Linked DNA regions of Caenorhabditis elegans. The protein of the gene in region 1 interacts with the protein of each later gene in a pairwise test. Each region holds a gene or a part of one and is shown in the gene's direction. Other genes may lie near its edges.

What was found.
Region 2: the proteins of ubc-9 (region 1) and lin-1 interact in a two-hybrid assay, tested with the Caenorhabditis elegans proteins (one study listed by BioGRID).
Region 3: the proteins of ubc-9 (region 1) and rad-51 interact in a two-hybrid assay, tested with the Caenorhabditis elegans proteins (2 studies listed by BioGRID).
Region 4: the proteins of ubc-9 (region 1) and tbx-2 interact in a two-hybrid assay, tested with the Caenorhabditis elegans proteins (2 studies listed by BioGRID).

What each region holds. Positions count from the first base shown.
Region 1 is NC_003282.8:4,649,354-4,652,964, forward strand, and holds ubc-9 (SUMO-conjugating enzyme UBC9), read left to right. Parts: upstream 1-1,690; 5' UTR 1,691-1,705; coding exon 1,706-1,759; intron 1,760-1,884; coding exon 1,885-2,007; intron 2,008-2,141; coding exon 2,142-2,232; intron 2,233-2,277; coding exon 2,278-2,431; intron 2,432-2,487; coding exon 2,488-2,566; 3' UTR 2,567-3,094; downstream 3,095-3,611. Other genes in the region: F29B9.8 (Serpentine Receptor, class T), read left to right, coding at 1-143; F29B9.7 (Pheromone-regulated membrane protein 10), read left to right, coding at 411-451, 501-647, 714-791, 841-924, 1,026-1,139, 1,187-1,250; F29B9.5 (Thioredoxin domain-containing protein), read left to right, coding at 3,106-3,186, 3,236-3,301, 3,356-3,501, 3,556-3,611. UniProt on the Caenorhabditis elegans protein: Accepts the ubiquitin-like protein smo-1 from the aos-1-uba-2 E1 complex and catalyzes its covalent attachment to other proteins with the help of an E3 ligase such as gei-17.
Region 2 is NC_003282.8:2,297,241-2,301,993, reverse strand, and holds the start of lin-1 (ETS domain-containing protein), read left to right. Parts: upstream 1-1,707; coding exon 1,708-1,731; intron 1,732-1,776; coding exon 1,777-1,864; intron 1,865-4,753.
Region 3 is NC_003282.8:10,281,086-10,285,770, reverse strand, and holds rad-51 (DNA repair protein RAD51 homolog), read left to right. Parts: upstream 1-1,526; coding exon 1,527-1,551; intron 1,552-1,635; coding exon 1,636-1,715; intron 1,716-1,756; coding exon 1,757-2,038; intron 2,039-2,274; coding exon 2,275-2,421; intron 2,422-2,475; coding exon 2,476-2,633; intron 2,634-3,119; coding exon 3,120-3,211; intron 3,212-3,260; coding exon 3,261-3,537; intron 3,538-3,668; coding exon 3,669-3,795; 3' UTR 3,796-4,137; downstream 4,138-4,685. Other genes in the region: thk-1 (Thymidine kinase), read left to right, coding at 4,204-4,230.
Region 4 is NC_003281.10:5,130,398-5,138,146, reverse strand, and holds tbx-2 (T-box protein 2), read left to right. Parts: upstream 1-1,827; 5' UTR 1,828-1,970; coding exon 1,971-2,233; intron 2,234-4,132; coding exon 4,133-4,323; intron 4,324-4,568; coding exon 4,569-4,645; intron 4,646-5,439; coding exon 5,440-5,586; intron 5,587-6,216; coding exon 6,217-6,810; 3' UTR 6,811-7,224; downstream 7,225-7,749. Other genes in the region: Y54H5A.2 (Protein HGH1 homolog), read left to right, coding at 1-54, 438-695; sax-2 (MOR2-PAG1_N domain-containing protein), read right to left, coding at 7,604-7,749. UniProt on the Caenorhabditis elegans protein: Involved in the transcriptional regulation of genes required for the development of pharyngeal muscles derived from the ABa lineage.

The sequences.
Region 1 (3,611 bases):
ACTTTGCTTCCGAGATGTTCCCACTTCATCTGACCTTCTTCTTGCTCAGACCCTTTATCTTCCTAATTCTGGCTCTGATCCTCCTCAACCCATACCGCCGTCGTTTTGTCAAATTCTTCTTCCCGTGTTGTAGAAGACATTAGGAACGATCTTTTATTTTTTTTCTGTAATTATTGCTTCCAACTCTTCTTTTTTGCGCCATAATTCTAAACCCCTGTGCCATTGGGCGCCCCCTCAGAAGCCCGGTGCTCCTTCGTTTTTTCTTTGTTTTGTTTTTTTTCAAATCGGAAATATCGCTCTCTCAGAAATTGTGATAAATAGTACACGTTTTACACGTTCCATATGTGCCTTGCCTTACAATTAAAAAATGAATAAATTTTTTTCAAATTTAAATCATTCTTATTTTTACGATGAGTTCGAAAAGTGGTGTTATAGAGTTTCCGGAAGACAAGTGAGTTTTTAATTTTTATTTATAAATTTAAATTTTTGACTCTTTGAAGCAAATTTGTGCATACAAATATGGCTGATTACACTACGGAATTGCTTGATGGTAGTGAGTCAACTACAAAGAGTACAGCAACAGACGAACCACCTAATCAATTGTTTTTGTCATCGTTGCTTTTCTTGAGCTCTGCGATTTGTTCTCTGTGAGCTCACTAGCTATTTTCTACAATTAAACAATAATGGAAAACCAAAATAAAATTTTATTCCAGATTCGCAGCTTCAATTCTAGTTCGTAGTTTTCCATTTTTCGGTTCTACTCTCTCTTTGGTGATCATTCTAGTAACTAGGTTGGCTTTGTTCATCAAGAAAAATAGATCTAATTGGAACATTTTCTAGAGAATGGAATAGGATATACGGTGGACTTTTGAGTCCAAATCTGAAAGCAACAATCAACTATTCGACCGTTATGAGAGATCACAGGTACATCTGAATTCTAGAAAATCACCTATTGTATATATATCCTATATATAGGCATATATTTTGACACTTAAAATAATTAAATTTCCAACTTTCTAATTCAGAGAATACATTCCGTTATACGACATGGACTGGTTGTTCGGAGGAAGATACAAGCCGTACTATTATGGATGCACGGGACCTTCGAACAATCCGGACATGGAGAGAACGCCTGATGAGTGAGAAAAAAGTTTTTTATTTTTTGAAAACGTTATCATTTTTGCAGCCCCGGAAGTCGTTCGCCGACGAAAGAGCGCAAGGAAGGAGAGGTTTTGAAGAAGGATGACTGACTGGGCACTCTCATTCTCACACATTTTGCCGCGAATAAATATTATTTGAATTTCGCGCCCTTCGAATTTATAATTTTCTTGAATATTCTTTTGTGTGCGCGCGAAAACTGCGAACCGTTTTGTAATTTTCTGTTGCATTCTGTCGAAATTAGTTTTCGTGTGCGACACCATTGCGAAATCGCGCGCCGCACTATGCAATTTATTGATCGATAATACGGGCGGTGCTCGCCCCCCTTTTCGTTTTTTGGCGCGATATCCTATTTTTGAACTTTTTCGAGAAATTTCTCTTTCTTATCGATCGGATTTCTGTTTGAAAAATCTAAAATAGTTCTGACAAGTGTCACGAACACGCTGTTTCGTTTGTTTACCTCTCTCTTCTTTTCTCGTTGTGCCTAAAACTTCACTGTCCACTTCTCTTTTACAAATTTGATATTTTTCAGTGTAACCGAACAAAAATGTCGGGAATTGCTGCAGGACGCCTCGCGGAAGAAAGGAAACACTGGCGAAAGGTGAGAATTTTATCATTACATGGCAAGTCGGGGCGATTTGTATTACAAAACCGCTTTAAATCGGTTAAATTCTAAAAATTATCGAAAAATAGTTTGTTTTCATGCCCAAAACTCAACATTTTCAGGATCATCCATTCGGATTCATTGCCAAACCAGTCAAGAACGCCGACGGAACATTGAACCTCTTCAATTGGGAATGTGCAATCCCAGGGAGAAAGGATACGATTTGGGAAGGCGGATTATACAGAGTATGTGAAGCTAGAATTCGGAAATTATCATTTTTCGTTAATTTATTGAGCTATAATATTCGTGAACTGTTTCTCTCAAAAACTGCTATTTGGAATACAACGATATTTATAAATCTAATTCAATTTTCTTTCAGATTCGGATGCTCTTCAAGGACGATTTCCCGTCAACGCCACCAAAGTGCAAGTTCGAGCCACCACTCTTCCATCCAAATGTGTACCCATCAGGTTATTATTGCAGTCCAATAGTTATAATTAATTAATTGAATTCAGGTACCGTGTGCTTATCTCTTCTGGATGAAAACAAGGATTGGAAGCCGTCAATCTCAATCAAGCAACTTCTCATTGGAATTCAAGATTTGCTGAACCATCCAAATATTGAAGATCCAGCTCAGGCTGAAGCCTATCAGATCTACTGTCAGAATAGGTGAGTTTTTTTTATCTGAATATTATAAAAAAAATACACAAATGAATTTATTACAGGGCTGAATATGAGAAGCGAGTGAAGAAGGAAGCTGTGAAGTATGCTGCCGAACTCGTCCAGAAGCAAATGCTCGAGTAGATGCTTGCTTCGTGGTAGTCGTCTATTCTATTCTCCTTTTTCCTCCCATCCTCATTTCATTTAGTTAACTATTTCTGTATGCGGCAACGATTGTTGACACAACTCGAAATTCGAGCACCGAAGCAACTTTTCTGATATCTTTTATTTCAATCTAACCAAAAGCTTTGTCGTGCCTGGTTTTTCATTTCGTGGTTGATGAAATTCGAGAGCTAGAACATTTCGATGACTTTTTCCAAATTTCGTGTGCACGCAAACCCAATCATTTTCCACTGGTCCATGGGCTGAGTAGTCTTTATTCTTTCAAAAGACTATTCCTCATCATTCTTACTCATTTTGATCTTCATCTTTCTTTTTATCCCGTTCTGTTTTCCATCTCTTTTCTCTTCCCCCCAATTCTCTTAAAATCAGGAGCACAATTTAATTGTTGACAAATCCCGTGTATTCCAATTTTCTAAATGGACTTGATTATATTTTTTTTCCCTCAACTTATTTGTATTTTGCAACTCAACCATGAACTGTTCATGTCAGATTCTCCAACAATGTCCGAATTCATGAAAGGTGTGATGCTTCTGAAGCAAGACTTGACTGAAGTTCCTGCCGAAGAAGCTCTGAAGGGCAAGGTGGCGAAATATTAGTGTGTAGTGAAAGATTTTAGAATATGACATTTAGGTTGTTGCTCTTTATTTTTCCGCGGGATGGTGTCCACCGTGTAAGCAGTTCACTCCGAAGCTAGTTGTGAGTGCTGAATCTAGATTTTCCGATTTTCCAATGAGTTTCCACACCCTTCAGCGCTTCTACCATCATCTGAAGAAGGCTGGAAAGCCCATCGAAGTGGTTTTCTTCTCTCGTGATAGATCAAAGGCTGATCTTGAAGAGAACTTCACCGAGAAGCACGGCGATTGGCTCTGCGTCAAGTATGGAGACGACATTTTGACGTGAGATTTATCATTTTTAATTTCAGAGTCTCAAAAATAAATCATAATTTTCAGACGATATCAATCAAAGTTCGAGATCAAGACGATCCCAGTGCTCCGAGTGATCAACG
Region 2 (4,753 bases), 2.4 Mb from region 1:
TTTTTCTGACTTTGAGCTTACTAGTTTTTTTCTGAAAAAGCTCGAATCTTATGTAAAAATTCAGAAAATTTGCTTTTAATTGTAACATATATAATAAGTTCAAAAACTTCAATCTCGTAGAAATGTTGTGAAAAACTGTTGCAAAATAGGCAAATTTTTTTGTTGAAATCCTGAAGTTAACAAGACGGGCCTGCAATAAAAAAGAGTAAACGCAAGGCTATTAGGGAGTGCAAGACTAATAGGGAGTGCCATACTAATTTTCGGAAGGTCTCCGAGGGGCAATACTAATAGGGAGTGCAAGTCTAATAGGGAGGCCATATTAATAGAAGATATACGGTATGTGAAAAACAATTTTTTAGTTGGCAATTTTCTGATAAAACCAATGTCAATCAAGATGTCAACTGATAAAGTTGCATAGGCTGCCAAAGTGGGTTCATTTGAGGTTCAATTGATGCACCATGTCGTTCCTTCTTGGACAGCCTATATCTCTATTTATTTTAATGCTAGTAATTTTAAAATGAGAAAATTATAGAAAAATATTTGAAAAATGTTTTGTTAGTTGTCAATTTCAAATAAAATCAAAAGACAACCAAGATATGAGCTGTCAAAGTTATGCAGTTAAATCCTCCTCACTTTAGAAGCTCTAATTTCAGTTGATTTTAAAAATATCAAAATATAGTAAACTAGAAAACTATAAAAAAATATGTGACAAACATTTTGTCAGTTGACAATTTTCTGATAAAACCAATGACAACCGAAATATAAACTGGTAAAGTTGAAGTTTTTTTTCGATGCACCATGTTCGTTTAATATGATGATTTTCTAATTTTCCAAAATAGTTATATATTGGCAAGTGGAAAAAAATTTGGTTTGTTTTAAATTGATTAATAATGTTAATTGCATAATTGTACAATATTTTGTCAGTTGACAAAAACAACCAAGTTTTCAAAGTTAAGTCTCGAGCAAGTTTCGGTTTCCTACGTTGTTTGGCGGGTTTTCAAAGAGTTTTTTGGGCAATTTCAGACAATTTTGAGCTATTTTGAAGTAAGAAGACATACAAAAACATTGCAGGTATTATAAAATAATTATCAAATAGCTAAAAAAAAATTCTTCATTACACTTAAACAACTTTTGAGCAGACCAACTTTTGTGATTTCCAATATATGATTTTACTTTTAAAAAAAATCTAAGACTAAACCATTTCCCTCAACTTTTAAATTATTCTAACATTAAACCTCTCCTCTTCCGTTTAAAATCGTATTAGCCAAGGGAATTAGGCCTTTGAAACTAAAACTTTTCCCTTGTGTCTTGTGTCACAACGCATTAAAATTTGAAGATATTAATAATTGTCCCACTTTCCACATACTTCATTCTTTTTTTATGAATTGTACAGTAGGCCTTTATGCCTGCCTGGTGCCTAGAGTAGGCATAAGGTAGGCATGAGATCGTAAAGTGACAGCAAGTTTTGCTCATATCTTAAAATTATCGTGTTTTTATAATGTAGATTCAATTCAACAATAAGTGAGCAAAAAGTGTTGTAAATTTCCGCATTTTACAGCCCCCCTCCCGTCCCTTGTTATCTATAGAGTCACTGAAAATAGTAGCCAGCTCGTCACTCATTGCCACGTCATCTTTCATCAGCCGCCGCCACCCCGTACCATTTTCCAGGTCAAAAGAAAGCGCCGACACTCTACAGTTTACACGAAAATGAATCACATTGACCTTTTGAAGGTTTGTCCACTGACTTCATGACTCCTAAATAGTATTCTTTTGCAGGTCAAAAAAGAGCCGCCGTCGAGTTCGGAAGAAGCCGAGGAAGAAGAATCTCCGAAACATACGATTGAGGGAATTTTGGATATAAGAAGTTAGTTTATTTTTTATAGTATTTGGAGCAAAACACACTTGCTACTAAAAGCAAATGTGCTCAATGAAGTTTGGCTCAAAATTGCTGATAGTGATTTTTATTTTGAATGAAAAATTTCACATTTTTCGGCAATTTGCTTATTGTGATTTGAACAGTCGAAATGTGAAATGAAAAATTAGGGGACATGGTGCATTGATTGGGCAACTTTGGCAGTTTATATTTCGGTTAATGTTTAAGATACGAAAAAATATGTAACTACAAAGTTATAGAACAACATATGAAATTTGTTTTGTTAGTTAAAAGTTTTTTGATAGAACCAAAGATAGCCAAGGAAAGTGGTGACAAAGTTATGCACCATGTTTGAACCTCTACACTTTAGGAGCACATATTTCGGTTCATTTTTAAAATATCAACATATAGTAAAATACAAAACTATAGAAAAATATGTGAAAAACAATTTTTTAGTTGACAATTTTCTGATAAAACCAATGTCAATCAAGATATCAACTGATAAAGTTGCATAAGCTGCCAAAGTGGGTTCATTTGAGGTTAATTTGTTGGACAGCCTATATCTCTATTTATTTTAATGCTAGTAATTTTAAAATGAAAAAATTATAGCAAAATATTTGAAAAATGTTTTGTTAGTTGACAATTTCAAATAAAATCAAAAGACAACCAAGATATGAGCTGATGCACCATGTTAAATCCTCCTCACTTTAGAAGCTCTAATTTCAGTTGATTTTAAAAATATCAAAATATAGTAAACTAGAAAACTTTAAAAAAATATGTGACAAACATTTTGTCAGTTGACAATTTTCTGATAAAACCAATGACAACCGAGTCAATGACAATGACAATGACAATGACAACTGGTAAAGTTGAAAGGATGTTCGAACAATATGATACTTTTCTACTATAGTGGCAAGTGGAGCTATTGGCACATTCTCAAAATATTTTACTAACTAGTCTAGTAGAACAAGTTTCAAACCAATTTGTTCTTCCTGCCAGACGGCTGAATAAACCGTAACGACCATGCTCTTCCACCTGTCGGTTGATGCTCAACTACTGATTCCTCTCCCTGCCACTTTTTTCTCTTTTTTTCTGAATTTAGTTTTGGTTTTTGCGGGTAAAATCCGATAAGAATTGATGAATGTGTGTCGCTTTGGGTAGAGCAGCTAATCCGTATTTGGTTTTAATGATGATTTGATGATTTAGTATGGTGTTTCTTTTTTCTCAAGTTTTTGAGTAGAATTTTCAAGAAATTTGTGAGAAAAATGACTTAAATTTTGCCAAAACATAGGGTATTTTTTAAAACTTTGAGCAGAATTTTCAAAAAAAATAACACGATAAAATTCAATTCTAAAATAATTGTCAAGACGAAATTTTCGGTATAAATCCAACTCCCTCTATACATATTTCCGCCTCACAGTACCGCAGGTCCCCCATTTTTGTTTGATTTCTACCGCATTTTCACACCCAATCACTTTTGTATATATATACATACGACATATGGTGTCAATTAATAAGTCGGAGGGGAGGGTGTGTGTTTGATACGTTTATATATTTAGATACTTCTTGTTGAAGAGTCAAGTTAAATCAAACCACATGACAATGTTTAGAGCTTTAAAGGTTCATAACTGGAACTATTGTTTTTATATCCATTTGCAAAACGTTACATTAAACACATGGCTGGAATAAAATACAACCTTTTGTCTTTACTATGCCACAGAGTCTGTAATAGTGTCCTCCAATAATTTAATGCATTTTTACGTGCTTTGCAATTTTTCTGAAAGTATCTTCAAATGGGTGAAAATCACTCATTTTGATATTCTTCTATACCTTTGAATTTTCTTGATATATATGCTTTACTGTTACCCCTAAAACCATCCCAACTAGCATCTGTTCTTCACTATTTACGGGTCTCTTGTCTTCCTTATCTGTTGTTATTGTTGTTGTGCTCTTTCGGAGCAGCTGAAGTTGCGGATTAAAGTCATCTGCGACCAAAATTGACGGATCGGAATATATGGCCGACAAAGAAGAGGTGCTTGAATGGGGTGAAGTGGGGGTCCTAAAAAGATCAGTCATCCGGAATGTTTTTAGGGTAGTATCATATGAAAAACCCCTCTACTCAATTCATATTAAATATTTTGTCAGCCCCTGAAACCTCTTTATCCAACAAGAAAACCGTACTAATGATAGGTTATATCGGAAAGATGTGGAAGGGTGGAACATAAATATTATTGCGTCTTCACGGATTTTTGTGAGATCATCATTTTGGAGATAACCAGGGGGGAAGGTCATCAAAAGGTGCGACTGATAGGCATCTGGTAGTGCATGATTCAGTTTTAGTAGTGTATTTGCTTTTTTTTGAGGACATGAGAAAAATTTAGGAAATTTTTGAACCCACCTTGAGAATTTTGGAATAACTGCTGTAGCCTCTCCTAGGGCTTCCACCAGGGGTGTGCGGCAAATCTCAAAATTTGCCGAGCTCGGTAAATTCGGCAAATCTCTTTTTTCAATATTTGCCGAGCACGGCAAATTCGGCAAATTCGGCAAATTCGGCAAATTCGGCAAATTCGCCGTGCTTAACAAACTCGGAAAAATTTGATATTTTTTTTATGTTTTTTGGAGCACCAAAACTACTGAATTCTTAACACACATCTGGTTTCTGAATAAGTTCCGCGTAGTATGTCTGTTTAAGCATCAAAATAGCTCAATTTTGTATCATTTTACTAAATTTTTGGCTAAAAAATCAATAGTTTTAGTCAAAATTGTACTGTCAAATTTTTGACGTGTGCGGCAAATTCGGCAAATTCGGCAAATCTACTTTTTTGAAATTTGCCGTGCTCGGCAAATTCGGCAAATTCGGCAAATTTGCCGCACACCCCT
Region 3 (4,685 bases), 5.6 Mb from region 1:
AATATATTGCTAGAATGTTGGTGGTCCCGCAGCGAGATTAGCGATTTGCAAATTGCATCTAAAATACTGGTGGCCATAAGTATTTTATAACGGCGAATCACCTGTGTCATAGCCTTTCTAAATTATTTGCACTTTCATCATAATTTTTTTTCTTGCGATTCTCTCCATTTTCCGTTCAATGAACGATTTAATACGCATGTTCAATAATAATAAAATTTATCCGAGAGGAGTACAGAAGAAAATTAACATCGCTGCGAGACCAATCGCTACAGTACTCAATGTCGATTTACGGAGGAAACATGTTTTGATTTCTCATTGTTTCTTTTGTCATTTTTTGTCATTTTAGTTTTAAAACTTAATTATCCTCTAATGATTTGCGCGGTTTTTTATTAAATTTTTGATTATTCTCGTAGCTTTTGAGTTAAACTAATTAAAAGTCTTCAGCTATGCTAAATTTTGCTTCCTTTTCTTGAATGAAAACCTAAAATGAACAAAATTTTTTGTCATTAAATAACAACGCTTCGGTTAACGCTTGAAATTGATATTCGGAAAATAAAAAGCCTGATTTTTGTTCGATTTCTGAAATATATTTCATGCTTTACCCGTTTTTAATTGCGAACAATTCTAAATTTGAAATATAATTTTCAATCAACGAAAAACAATTTTCAAGATAAAAAATTATTATATAAATTTAAGCTAAGTATTAATAAATTAATAAGTAATAGTATTCAAAAATCATAGAATCTTGCAAGAAAAAATGTTTTAAAGATTTAATAGTTCGAGTGATTGAAAAACGAATAGTACTTTAAAAAATAATGCTTTAAGGCAGAAAAGTGATATAAAAATTAAGCTCAAAAGGGCAAAAGATAAGGTTAATGTCCAGTTTTGGTTTTAAAATGGTTCGGACACAATGTACATAGTAGACATTTGGGTGTCCTCTTCCTTCTCTTTTCCCCATTGCGTCCACTGACCCTCCTTGCTGTATGTCTGCGCATCGTCTTTTTCTACACTTTTTCCTTTTCCCTGGCCCGTTCCTATCGGTGCCTTTCACACACGCGAGCGGCAGTGGACGAGACGGGAGGGCGAGGTGTTGAACAAGAGTACAGCAAGTGCGCGCCATCGAAAAAGCGGAAAAAAAAATTTCAAATGGCGCTACTTTGAAAATTGAGAATTCTGTATTTACTGCCAGTTTTACTTGCATTTAAATTTCCATGTTTTCTATTCTAAAACGAAAATCTATCTAAGAAAACCCTTAATAAAAACCTATAAATCATAAATTGTGATTCTTAAATTCGAAAATATGTTCGTTCAACTTGACGCCTAGAAATATGTGGACTTAATCCTGTTATAAATCAGTAGTTGACGACAAAAATAGTAGAGCAGCAAAAGCAGTTCTAACTTGTGAAAAACATGAAAGTTCTTGTTTTCGTCAAGCGAACGGGGGCTCGAGGAAGGACTTGGCACGTGTCTCTAGGCCATGTTTTTCTCAATTTTTGTTGCTCTAGAGAAAGCTTTTGCTATTGATTATGGGACAATCTTGGGGATATGAAGGTAACATTTTAAAAATAAGTTTAGGTAAATGTGTAGCATAATTTTTGAAAAAAAAAGCTCCACTGTTAAAAATGCCGATTTTAGGGATTGCGAAACGTTCACTATGTACACATAAATGGCTATATAATTTGAATTTGCATTCAATAAATCTTTTCCTTCCAATTGTATGTTTTAACTTAAAAATAATTAATTAAAATTATCTCAGGAGTCAAAAATGTCAGCTCAAGCAAGTCGTCAAAAGAAATCGGATCAAGAGCAGCGTGCAGCTGATCAAGCTTTGCTCAATGCAGCAATCGAGGATAATGCGATGGAGCAAGATGAAAACTTCACAGTTATCGATAAACTTGAGTCTTCAGGAATCAGTTCTGGCGATATTTCAAAACTAAAAGAAGCTGGATACTATACATACGAATCGCTGGCATTTACTACAAGACGCGAACTCCGAAATGTCAAAGGAATTAGTGATCAGAAAGCTGAAAAGATAATGGTGAGCATATCAAAAAATCAGCTTATTCGAGAATTAAAGAAAAAAACTAAAAATTCTGTGGCTTTATTTTTCAAAATCCAATTAATTGAATTGAAAGTATCAGAAAAGTTGATACATTTTTCGAGGTTAGCTCCGAAAAAGAATGAAACGATCAGCTGCAAGGTCAGTTTTGACGGCAAATCGACCAGCTGTGAACATGTAGACATCGGCCTCATATTTCAATGATTTAATTTCAGAAAGAAGCCATGAAATTCGTGCAGATGGGATTCACGACGGGAGCCGAGGTTCATGTGAAGCGAAGCCAGCTGGTGCAGATCAGAACTGGATCTGCTTCACTTGACAGACTGTTGGGTGGCGGTATCGAAACAGGCAGTATCACTGAGGTGAGTTTATCACGGATAAACTGACAACAGTACTCAATAAAACATTTATTTCAGGTTTACGGAGAATATAGAACAGGAAAAACTCAGCTTTGCCACAGTCTGGCAGTCTTGTGTCAATTGCCGATTGATATGGGAGGTGGTGAGGGAAAATGTATGTATATTGATACCAATGCCACTTTTCGACCCGAACGAATTATTGCTATCGCTCAGAGGTTTGTGATTGAGAATTATTCTTAAAAATCCTGAATTTGTCATAATTTGATCTCCCGACTTGAAAATTTAAAAAAAAATTAAAATTTATTTCGAGAAATCAGTAACATATTTTCTCAGTCTGAAAATAGCTGTTATTTTTGCTTGAACAATTGAAAAGGCCAAAAATGGTCTGCAAGTTGGAAATTGCCGTAAATGAACTTTCAGAGATGTTCCGGGTCTTTTTTTGGCGAATTTCAACTTGCAGGCAATTTTTTAGCCTTTTCCTTATTGTTTCAACAAATATAAGTTTTTTTTTTCAGATAAAGTAAATATTTCTCTATATTCTATCACTAAGTTTGAAATAAAAACGTTTGGAGAACAAGTCGCAATGGCTCATTTTGTACAATTACTGGTTTACGCCACATGGCTTGAATTTTGGCATTTGAGAATTTACCTTATTATGGATCTTGTAGCATTTTTTTGAATATCGAAGTAATTTCTTGCAGATACAATATGGACAGTGCTCATGTACTCGAGAATATCGCTGTTGCACGTGCATACAACTCAGAACATTTGATGGCTTTGATTATTCGAGCAGGTAAATCTAAATTTCAAAAAATAAAAAAATAAACTTTTTCGTGCCATAGGAGCAATGATGTCCGAGAGTCGTTATGCTGTTGTGATTGTTGACTGTGCAACTGCTCATTTCCGTAACGAATACACTGGAAGAGGAGATCTAGCGGAACGTCAGATGAAGCTCTCTGCTTTTCTGAAATGCCTTGCCAAGCTTGCCGATGAATATGGTGTCGCTGTAATTATTACCAATCAAGTTGTAGCACAAGTCGACGGAGGAGCCTCGATGTTCCAGGCTGATGCTAAAAAGCCCATTGGAGGTCACATCATCGCTCACATGTCTACTACCAGGTAAACATAGTTGGAGGTTTTCTGAAGATTTTGAACAAATAGAGAACATATTTAATTTTTTTATTAAACATTACATGTGGTCTTTTTGAGGATTTTTTAAAGAAGAAAAATTAAGTTATTCATATTTTCAGATTGTACCTTCGAAAAGGAAAAGGAGAGAATCGCGTCGCAAAAATGGTTCAATCACCCAATTTACCAGAAGCCGAAGCGACCTACTCAATCACGAATCATGGTATTGAGGACGCACGCGAGGACTAGCCGTTCGTTTTTCTTTTTCTTATCAAACTTCATCATTCATATCCCGATAAATATATCACATTTCTGTTTCTCTCCACACTTTCACGGATTCATCATGTTTATTTGGGTCGTTTTTAAATCTAGCGTTCTATGTTCTCTATGAAAAGTTTTCGCCTGCCCCTCATGTTTCACTATTCCGTTACATTCCTTTTTTGTATCTGTATTATATATAGGTTTGTGCATCTCTCTCTCTCTCTTTTGTTTTACCCGTCGTTTTGTATGAATCGTATAGTTGAACTGATTATGTCAGTATTGATAAGCTAATGTTCTTTTTAATTTATAAAGGTTTTCGAAACCTTTAATACTGTATTTTAAAAATGCGTGTTCATCATGTTAACCTAGCAATAATTCCAGATCCAACTAACTGAAATGGACATTGAAGCGGCCAAGAATGAGGTAAGATGATTATCTCTAATTTGCCTATTCGCAAAATGTGGAGTGGAATTTTTGCTTTGTAAAATTCCGGCAACAACAAAAAACCTTGAAAATTGCCTGAAAATACCCAACTGTCCGTACTTATGCTCTCAAAAGCGATTCTTATTATGCAATACCGACGGTCACAGCACATTTGCTGAACAGCTGTGTGACCCTTGCCTGTTGTCATCGTCTCATTCAAATTACTCAACATGATCTTGCCCTCTTTTGATCTTTACTATTCTTATTTAGGTTTTGAAATTTATTGTTAATATTTGTACGTCAGAGATGACTAATTGGCTCCTGATAAGAAAGTTCACTTATTTATGATATACTAGTTTATTTTTAACTGTATATCGTGTTGAGCCAAAAATTTATTTTCTGATTCTACATTTTCCGCTTTAGTATGGTAGATCGAGACATTTTATATGTTTTCC
Region 4 (7,749 bases), on another chromosome or scaffold:
GAACGAGATAGCAGTGATATTGTGCGCCAAAAGCTGATTGAAGCTCTATTCCAGGTAAAAATCAGAATTAAGTCTTCACAAGTGTAGTTCCAAGTAAAGCATATCCCCGTTCCTAAATCGCTTGAAGATTCTTATGACGACGAAGACGTCGATAGGCGTTAAATCAGAAACAGGAGCGGGTGCGCGGGGCGCCAAAAAATTATCGACGCTTGATTAGTTTTTTGAATGAAAGCAGTTGACGCGGACGGACGGGCGACAGTCAATTGTTTTGTAATCTCGAGATGGTAATCGATCGCGAGAAAAAAATCGGCTGCTGTGCCTTAATTTGGGTGATCAAGCGGAAACTGCAAGTGATGACTAATTTAGTTCTCATGTTTAGGCGCCAAATTTGAGAAGTTAGCCTGAGGAAAAATCATAATAGATGTTCTTATTTCCAGCTATGTGCCACAAAACATGGACGTGAAGTGCTTCGAGCCAAAGGAGTCTATCCTGCAATGAGAGAACTTGACAAAGGAACTGAAACTGCTGAGGATAAGCACAAAAAGACACTGTTAAGCTCACAACAAGAGCACACTCTTCATGCATTAATTGGAATTCTTATTCGTTATGAATCTGAAATGGATGTCGATCCGGAACTCAGCTCAATTCGCGAACTTGGAACATCTGAAGTCACCGAGATAACTAAAACGTCTTGATTGTTCTCTTTTGAATTTCACATTTCATTTTGTCACTTGTTAATCAATTGTTAACCCATTTTGTTTGTTGATTGAAATTAATTTTCGAATTCCATCTTATCATCAATTCAGTGCTGCAAATGTGTGAACCACCGTGTAAGAGGTGGCAGTTTCAGTTTTTAAGTGATAAGAAGCCGCGAGAATGAAGTGAAATGAGAGTAGCCGATTCATTAGTTGTGTTTACGATTCAGAAATTGTTAAAAATTAGGAATTTGAGCACTTGAAGCCACCGGCGGAGAATTGTTTTTTATGGTAATTGCTTCAGGAAGAAGAAAATAATAAAACGGGGGTCCCGAGAAGAAAACGAAAAAAAAAACTTTGTGTGCTTTTTCTCTTATTTTATGGCTCCGGCGTTCGTTTCTATGGAAAATGTTTGAAGCCTTTGAACGACTTATTCTCAGAATAATATAATAAGTGAAAGTTCGCTCTATCGAATAGCATTTTTTCAACGAATCAGTAATAAGACACTATTTAAAGTCCTGAAGCGATGAATTTTCAGTATTGCTTTACAGTAAAATAATAAGCCAAATAGAATAATTTTTCGAAGCATGAGCAGTATTTTAAAGGCGCACGGATTTATTCAGATAAGTCTCACTACGAGGAAAAGTTTTTGGCAGGATATCGTATACGTTTTTTATGAATTTTACTTGATATTCGTCAAGATTTTCAGTTTATTTTTCGACAAATAAATATACAAATAATAATGAGCCACCATTAGATTTTTCGCGACGAGACCCATTAAAAAACCACGCGCCTTTAAGTTTACGTTTCAGAAAATTTCAGCCAACCATGTCTGCATGAAAAGTTTAAAAATAACAGAAACCTTTGAAAAGAAAGGACTCCTAACAAAAGATGGATTTTCCAATCAAACCATATTACCACGTGGCATCCATCCATGGACCATTCCCTTGTCCGCATCAACCCAACAGGAGCCGTGTGATCAGCCACACCCATGGCGTCAGTCCCGTCCTCCTCCTTGCCACCTAAGCCCCGCCCGCATTTCGGCTGGTCGGTATAGTGGTTTCCCCACGGGCCAATCGACACACAAGTGGGCGGAGCCGAGTCATAGAGCGGCAAAACGGACGACTACGGCGTGACTTCTTTCACTTTGACAAGGCCAGGCTATATACCCCTCAACGTCGTTGTGGGTGAAAACCACGTTTTTGGAGATTTTTCAATTTATCCCCGGAACAGTTTAAGCCGACGGTTTTTGTGTAAAGAAAAGATCATCATAAAATGGCATTCAATCCATTTGCACTTGGACGTCCTGATCTTTTGTTACCATTTATGGGAGCAGGAGTTGGTGGTCCTGGAGCCGGTGGTCCACCACCAAATTTGTTTTTTTCAATGCTTCAAGCTGGGTTTCCACCAGGACCTGTTGGATCACCACCTGAAGATGATGGGGTAACTGATGATCCGAAAGTTGAGCTTGATGAACGAGAATTATGGCAACAGTTTTCACAATGTGGAACTGAAATGGTCATTACTAAAAGTGGAAGGTTTGTTTTATTTAAGTTTTTTTTTCTAAATTCTTCTTGAAACTCTTTTTGTCTGCTTTGATTTTGAACTATATTTCCTCAGTCTCATAACTCCGTTGTCATTAATCTAGCTGAAAAGTTCTCAACTAAAAAATCCATACTGTTTTCTATATTTTTGTGGTTAACATTTTTCTGACAAAATAAGGAATAATAGAGATATGAGCTGTCAAAGTTAAAATCCCCATCACTTTACTTTGAGAGCTCATTCGGTTTATTGTAATCATCAAGTAATTAATTATAAATCTATAGAATGGAAAATAGAAAATAAATATTTTGACGGTGGAAATTTTTTGATTAACCTGAAAACAATTGAGATATAAGTTGATAAAGTCGAGCAGTTGGGGTGCAAGACTAGCAGGGAATTTAAAAATACAAAAAATACAAAAAATTTGAAATTATATTAAAATAATTATTATCAAATTAAATGCTATATTGTTCTGAAATTCAGTCAATTCCAAATTGATTATTATCATTCAAATTCAAAATTCAAAAACTTTAATATTTATTTTTCGTGTGCTCTCTCTTATCTTTTTCCTTGTTCTCCGTTCGATTCTGCATAGACTTTCTGGCGATTTTTAATCAGTTTTTATTTAATTTTTATTCTCTTGAAACGTTTCGAAATTGCTTCAGCTTTATTTCAAAGTCATATTTTTTATAACAGTTAGAACTTTATAACCTTTTTGGTCTTTGACATTTTTGAACTTAACAGCCTTTTGAAAAACCTATAGGATTTAAAGTCTCGAAATAGAAACTGAAAACTGAAAACAAATTGGTAGAAAAATATATCTAAGTTTAAAATGAAAAATAAACATATCTGGCTGATTGTCAAAAAGTTTTTCACAATACTTTTTCAAAACTCGCTGTCTTCTTTTATTATTATTTAATTAACTGTTCAAGTTTCAAGCTCAAACCGCCATAACTCGTGTAGTTATTTAATTTCTGCAATTTTTTAACTGCCACAGTACATGTTATAATATTCTCTAAATTTTGCTAGTTGGCAATTTTTCAATTAAGTCAATAACTCTAGAGATATATGCTCTTTTTTGAGCCCAGACATTTCTTTGTCCTTTCCCTTCAACGAAACTCCCAAAATTGTCAAATTTCACACCATCGGCGAGACAAAAGACACCCAAAATTCAATTTCCTACCGTAATCCTTGTCGATGCTCCGAGAGCAAGAAAAAGGCGTGAAAATGTTTATCACTGCTCGCCACTTTTTTCTCTCGCTTTTTTCACTTTCTAAACGATTTGAAAAGAGAGAGCACAACGGACTCTGCTGTGAAAATTGGAGAAAATGTGTGACAATTGTCGCGGAATTTTTGTTTGGAACCAAAATTTGTTAAATTTATTTTTTTCAATCAATCAAAAATTGAGATCCATCTGACTCTTTTAAGCTAGATATTTGCATTTCGGATAATTCAATTTCCATATATATTTGCCTCAGTTGGATATCGAATTTCAGTGAGAAAGGGTACGAATTATTATGCACAAAGCGAATCTAAATATGGGGGAATTGAAAAACTTCGAAAACCTTGAAAATATGAACATCCCTTAATAATCTGAGATACTAATTTAAAGGCACATACACGTCTTTTGGGTCTCGCCACGAACTACCGTATCCTTGTTTATATTTCCGCGCGAGACCTAAGAGGTGCTGTATTCTCCGAATCACTAATAATTTAAAACTGTGGGAAACTCAGTGTTTTGTTCAATTTTCCTATTGCTAAACTTTAACAGCTCACACAGCTTTGTCAAAAATTAGAAAAATAAACGAGTGTATTTTTTAATAGATGTAAAATTTTTTTCCTTCAAAGGAATCAGAAATGTGAATAAAACTTGAATATAATTTTAAAATTTCCAGACGGATATTCCCAGCATATCGAGTGAAAATCAGTGGTCTCGACAAGAAAAGTCAATATTTCGTGATGATGGATCTTGTTCCGGCTGATGAACACCGTTACAAGTTCAATAATAGTCGATGGATGATTGCTGGAAAAGCCGATCCCGAAATGCCAAAAACTTTGTATATTCATCCGGATTCTCCGTCAACTGGTAAGGGAATAGAAAATATTTTAAAAATTCCAACTTGTGCCAACTTGAGTTGTTTTTAGGTCAACTAGACAATTGCAAACTTAGTTTAATTGATAATTTAGAGTTAGAAAACCAGTTAATATTCTGAGCCTTCCAAGTAGGCATGCTCGCCTACCTACTGCCTTCACACTAGATAGGCGGTTGGAAGGTAGGCATGATAGTACAATAACCCGTTTCCCTTCAAGACCCAAACATTTTATTTTCAGGCGAGCATTGGATGTCAAAAGGCGCCAACTTTCACAAACTCAAACTCACAAATAATATATCGGATAAGCATGGATATGTGAGTTTTATTACTTTGTATGATCATGAAATCTACTAAACAAAAAGTCGTAAAAACTTCGTTTTTGGTGGTTTTTGCCATTCATAAATCCTCTTTGCACGAGAAAATCGGTGTCAAACTGGCAAAACTACAGTAATCCTTTTGGCCACCAATCATTTCATATTCGAGTGGGGGAGAAGGCTAAAGGGGATAAAACAAAGTGAATTTACCACCAAAAAAAGAGTCAAATTTCTCGGGACAAATATTCGAAGAATAGGGGAGATGAATAGCACGGCGGGAATATGCGAATTTGAGATTTTTTTTTCCAACGAATTTATGATGTGTTGACTGATTTTTGGAGAAGGAAATCGCTTTTTAAGGGATTTTCTGAAAGCCTGAATCAAGATTAAGCGTACATTGAAGCGCGTATTATAAGGTAGCAAAGCCCCTTGATTTACATTAGTCGTTAAAAATTTTCTTCCAATTAATGCAACTTTACAATGTCAGAACACATTAGGCCTTTTTTGATTTATAGTGCTCCATTACAATATCCTACTTTTCCGGAAGACGTCACTTTTTTCTTTGAAATTTCGACTTTTGACTCTAAGGGAGCCATCTCTTCTTATTCCAACGAAGAAGAGGCATCGAATTTCGCGTCAGATTTGCCGCTTTCTCGTACAGATTTGTCGGTTTCATATTGCACCAAAGATGCTTCTGAATTTCTGAATTTGCGTGTGCAATCTTGCAAAATTATTGGGAGGGAATGGAAAAATTTGGAATTTCAAAAATCAATCTATAGATTTTCATATTTTCAGACAATTCTCAACTCTATGCACAAGTATCAGCCACGTCTTCACGTAGTTCGGTGCGCGGATCGACACAATTTGATGTACAGTACCTTCCGAACTTTTGTGTTCCGTGAGACCGAATTCATCGCTGTTACGGCTTATCAAAACGAGAAGGTACGTGAAATCGCGCTCCAATGAAAACGTGAAACATTTCACACACTCTCATCTAATTCTACAGTAACCCAATTTATTAGTTCTTTTTTTTTTACTTTTTTTTTGCCGCTACCTCCTCCAGCCATCATTTTAATTCGCACCACACACACACCTACAGTAATGCGAATCATTTTTTGTGGAACTTCTAGTTTAGTATATTTGAAGCTATTTGAAAAATGAGGCGGAAATTGTAAAAAAGTAAATGTGATGAAAATATTCGCTGTACTTTGTGTGAATATCGATAGATCCGTATTTTCAATTTTTTGGAAGTTTTTTAAAGCAAAAACTGGAATCACAAATCTACCTAAACTTAATCAGTTCTGTATAACAGGGAATTCTATTCATTAAATTATTTGTTTCGTTAATGTGTTTTAAGTTCTTCTTGAAACTCAAATTGATATTTTTGGGGGTTCCCATGTCCTTTTTAAAGAAAAAAGAACTTTTTTGCTGAAATTTAACGATTTTTGAATAACAGTAAATAAAATGGAGAACCCGCCAATTTGTGTTTGCGCGTAGAATACAATGCATTTGGTCGATGTTCGCACAAAATTCTTGATCTTATAAAAACCAATTAAACAAACAATTTTGCAGGTGACGGAGCTGAAAATCGAAAACAATCCGTTTGCCAAAGGATTTCGGGATGCTGGAGCCGGGAAGCGTGAGAAAAAGCGACAACTTCACAGAATGAATGGAGATGCAACTCAAAGTCCACCCGGAAAAACCGCTTCACTACCCACACATTCACCACATCCATCAGAATCCAATTCAGAAGATGATGAGCCAACATTGAAGAAATGTAAACCCGAACCATCACAAACTCCAACAACATCAAGCCTTTCCACATCAACAACTCCAACATTATCAGCTCATCATCCGTTACGATCTCCCCAATTCTGCATTCCACCGCCAATTGATATGATGTATCAGAATATGCCAATGGATTTACTTGCACATTGGCAAATGGCAACACTCTTCCCACAATTCTCAATGGCTCTTAATTCACCTGCAGCTGCTGCTTCATTACTCTCCAAACATTTGGCAAAAGCTTCATCGGAATGTAAAGTCGAAGCAACTTCTGAAGATTCTGAAGAAGCTGAAAAGCCTGAAGTGAAGAAAGAGCAAAAGTCAGTGACACCACCCAAAAAGGGAGGTTTTGATGTTCTCGATTTGTTGTCAAAGCCTTAATTTGATACTTTTCATCTTATTTTTCAATTTTTTTTAAAGAACGAGCTTTTTAACGGTGTGAAATTTATCTAAATGTATCACCGAATTTGTTACAGTTTCTGCCATAACGATCTTCTCTGAAAATGACTCTCTTTTTTGTTCAAGTCTCCACTCTCTCTCTCTCTCTCTCTCTCTCTCTCTTTCCAAGCGGGCATAATATTTTTGTTTCTTTACAAAAAATCCCTCAAAATAGTCAATAGAATTTCAACTTTTTCTGGTCCTCAACTATTTATAGCTTTTAGACATTTATTCATCTTCAAATTTTCCTTTTTCTCTCTCAATCTTCTTATTGTACATTTTCGCGTCCCCAGTGATTGTACGATTTTCTTTTATCTGTTTTGAGCCTAGTGACATTAATAAATAATCAATACTTGTATCATTTTGTAAATTGTAGTCTGTAGTCTGCGCGCCCGGCACAGGCCGATGCTTGCGATGATTAACTCACACCCTGTTCCCAGGGCTGAAGGTTTTACGATTGAGTGGCGTTTAGCAGAAAATTGATTTTTTCGCTTTTCTAAAATTATAATTCAAAGATTTTGGAGTTTCCAAAAATAAAAAAGTTAGCCTTTTTCCTTTCTCGCCCGGATTACTGTAATTGTCTGGAAAGAGAACTGTAGAATTGCTGTATGACACATGAACTTTATTTGGTTTTTACAATTCTTGGCTTGATTTAAAAATACAGAAAATAATTATAAAACGTAAAGCAAATTGGTGTTTTTGGAATGTAGTATATTTACAACGCAATTCCACTAATTTAATCATAATGATCTGATGAGGAAGGCAATTGTGCGAATGATTCGGTCATTGACGCTGATCCCATTGAAGGTGTCATTCTCTCCATATTTTGAAGACTTTGAGCATTTCTTCTCAAACATGAAGCCAGCTCGGCGTTGGCTTCTC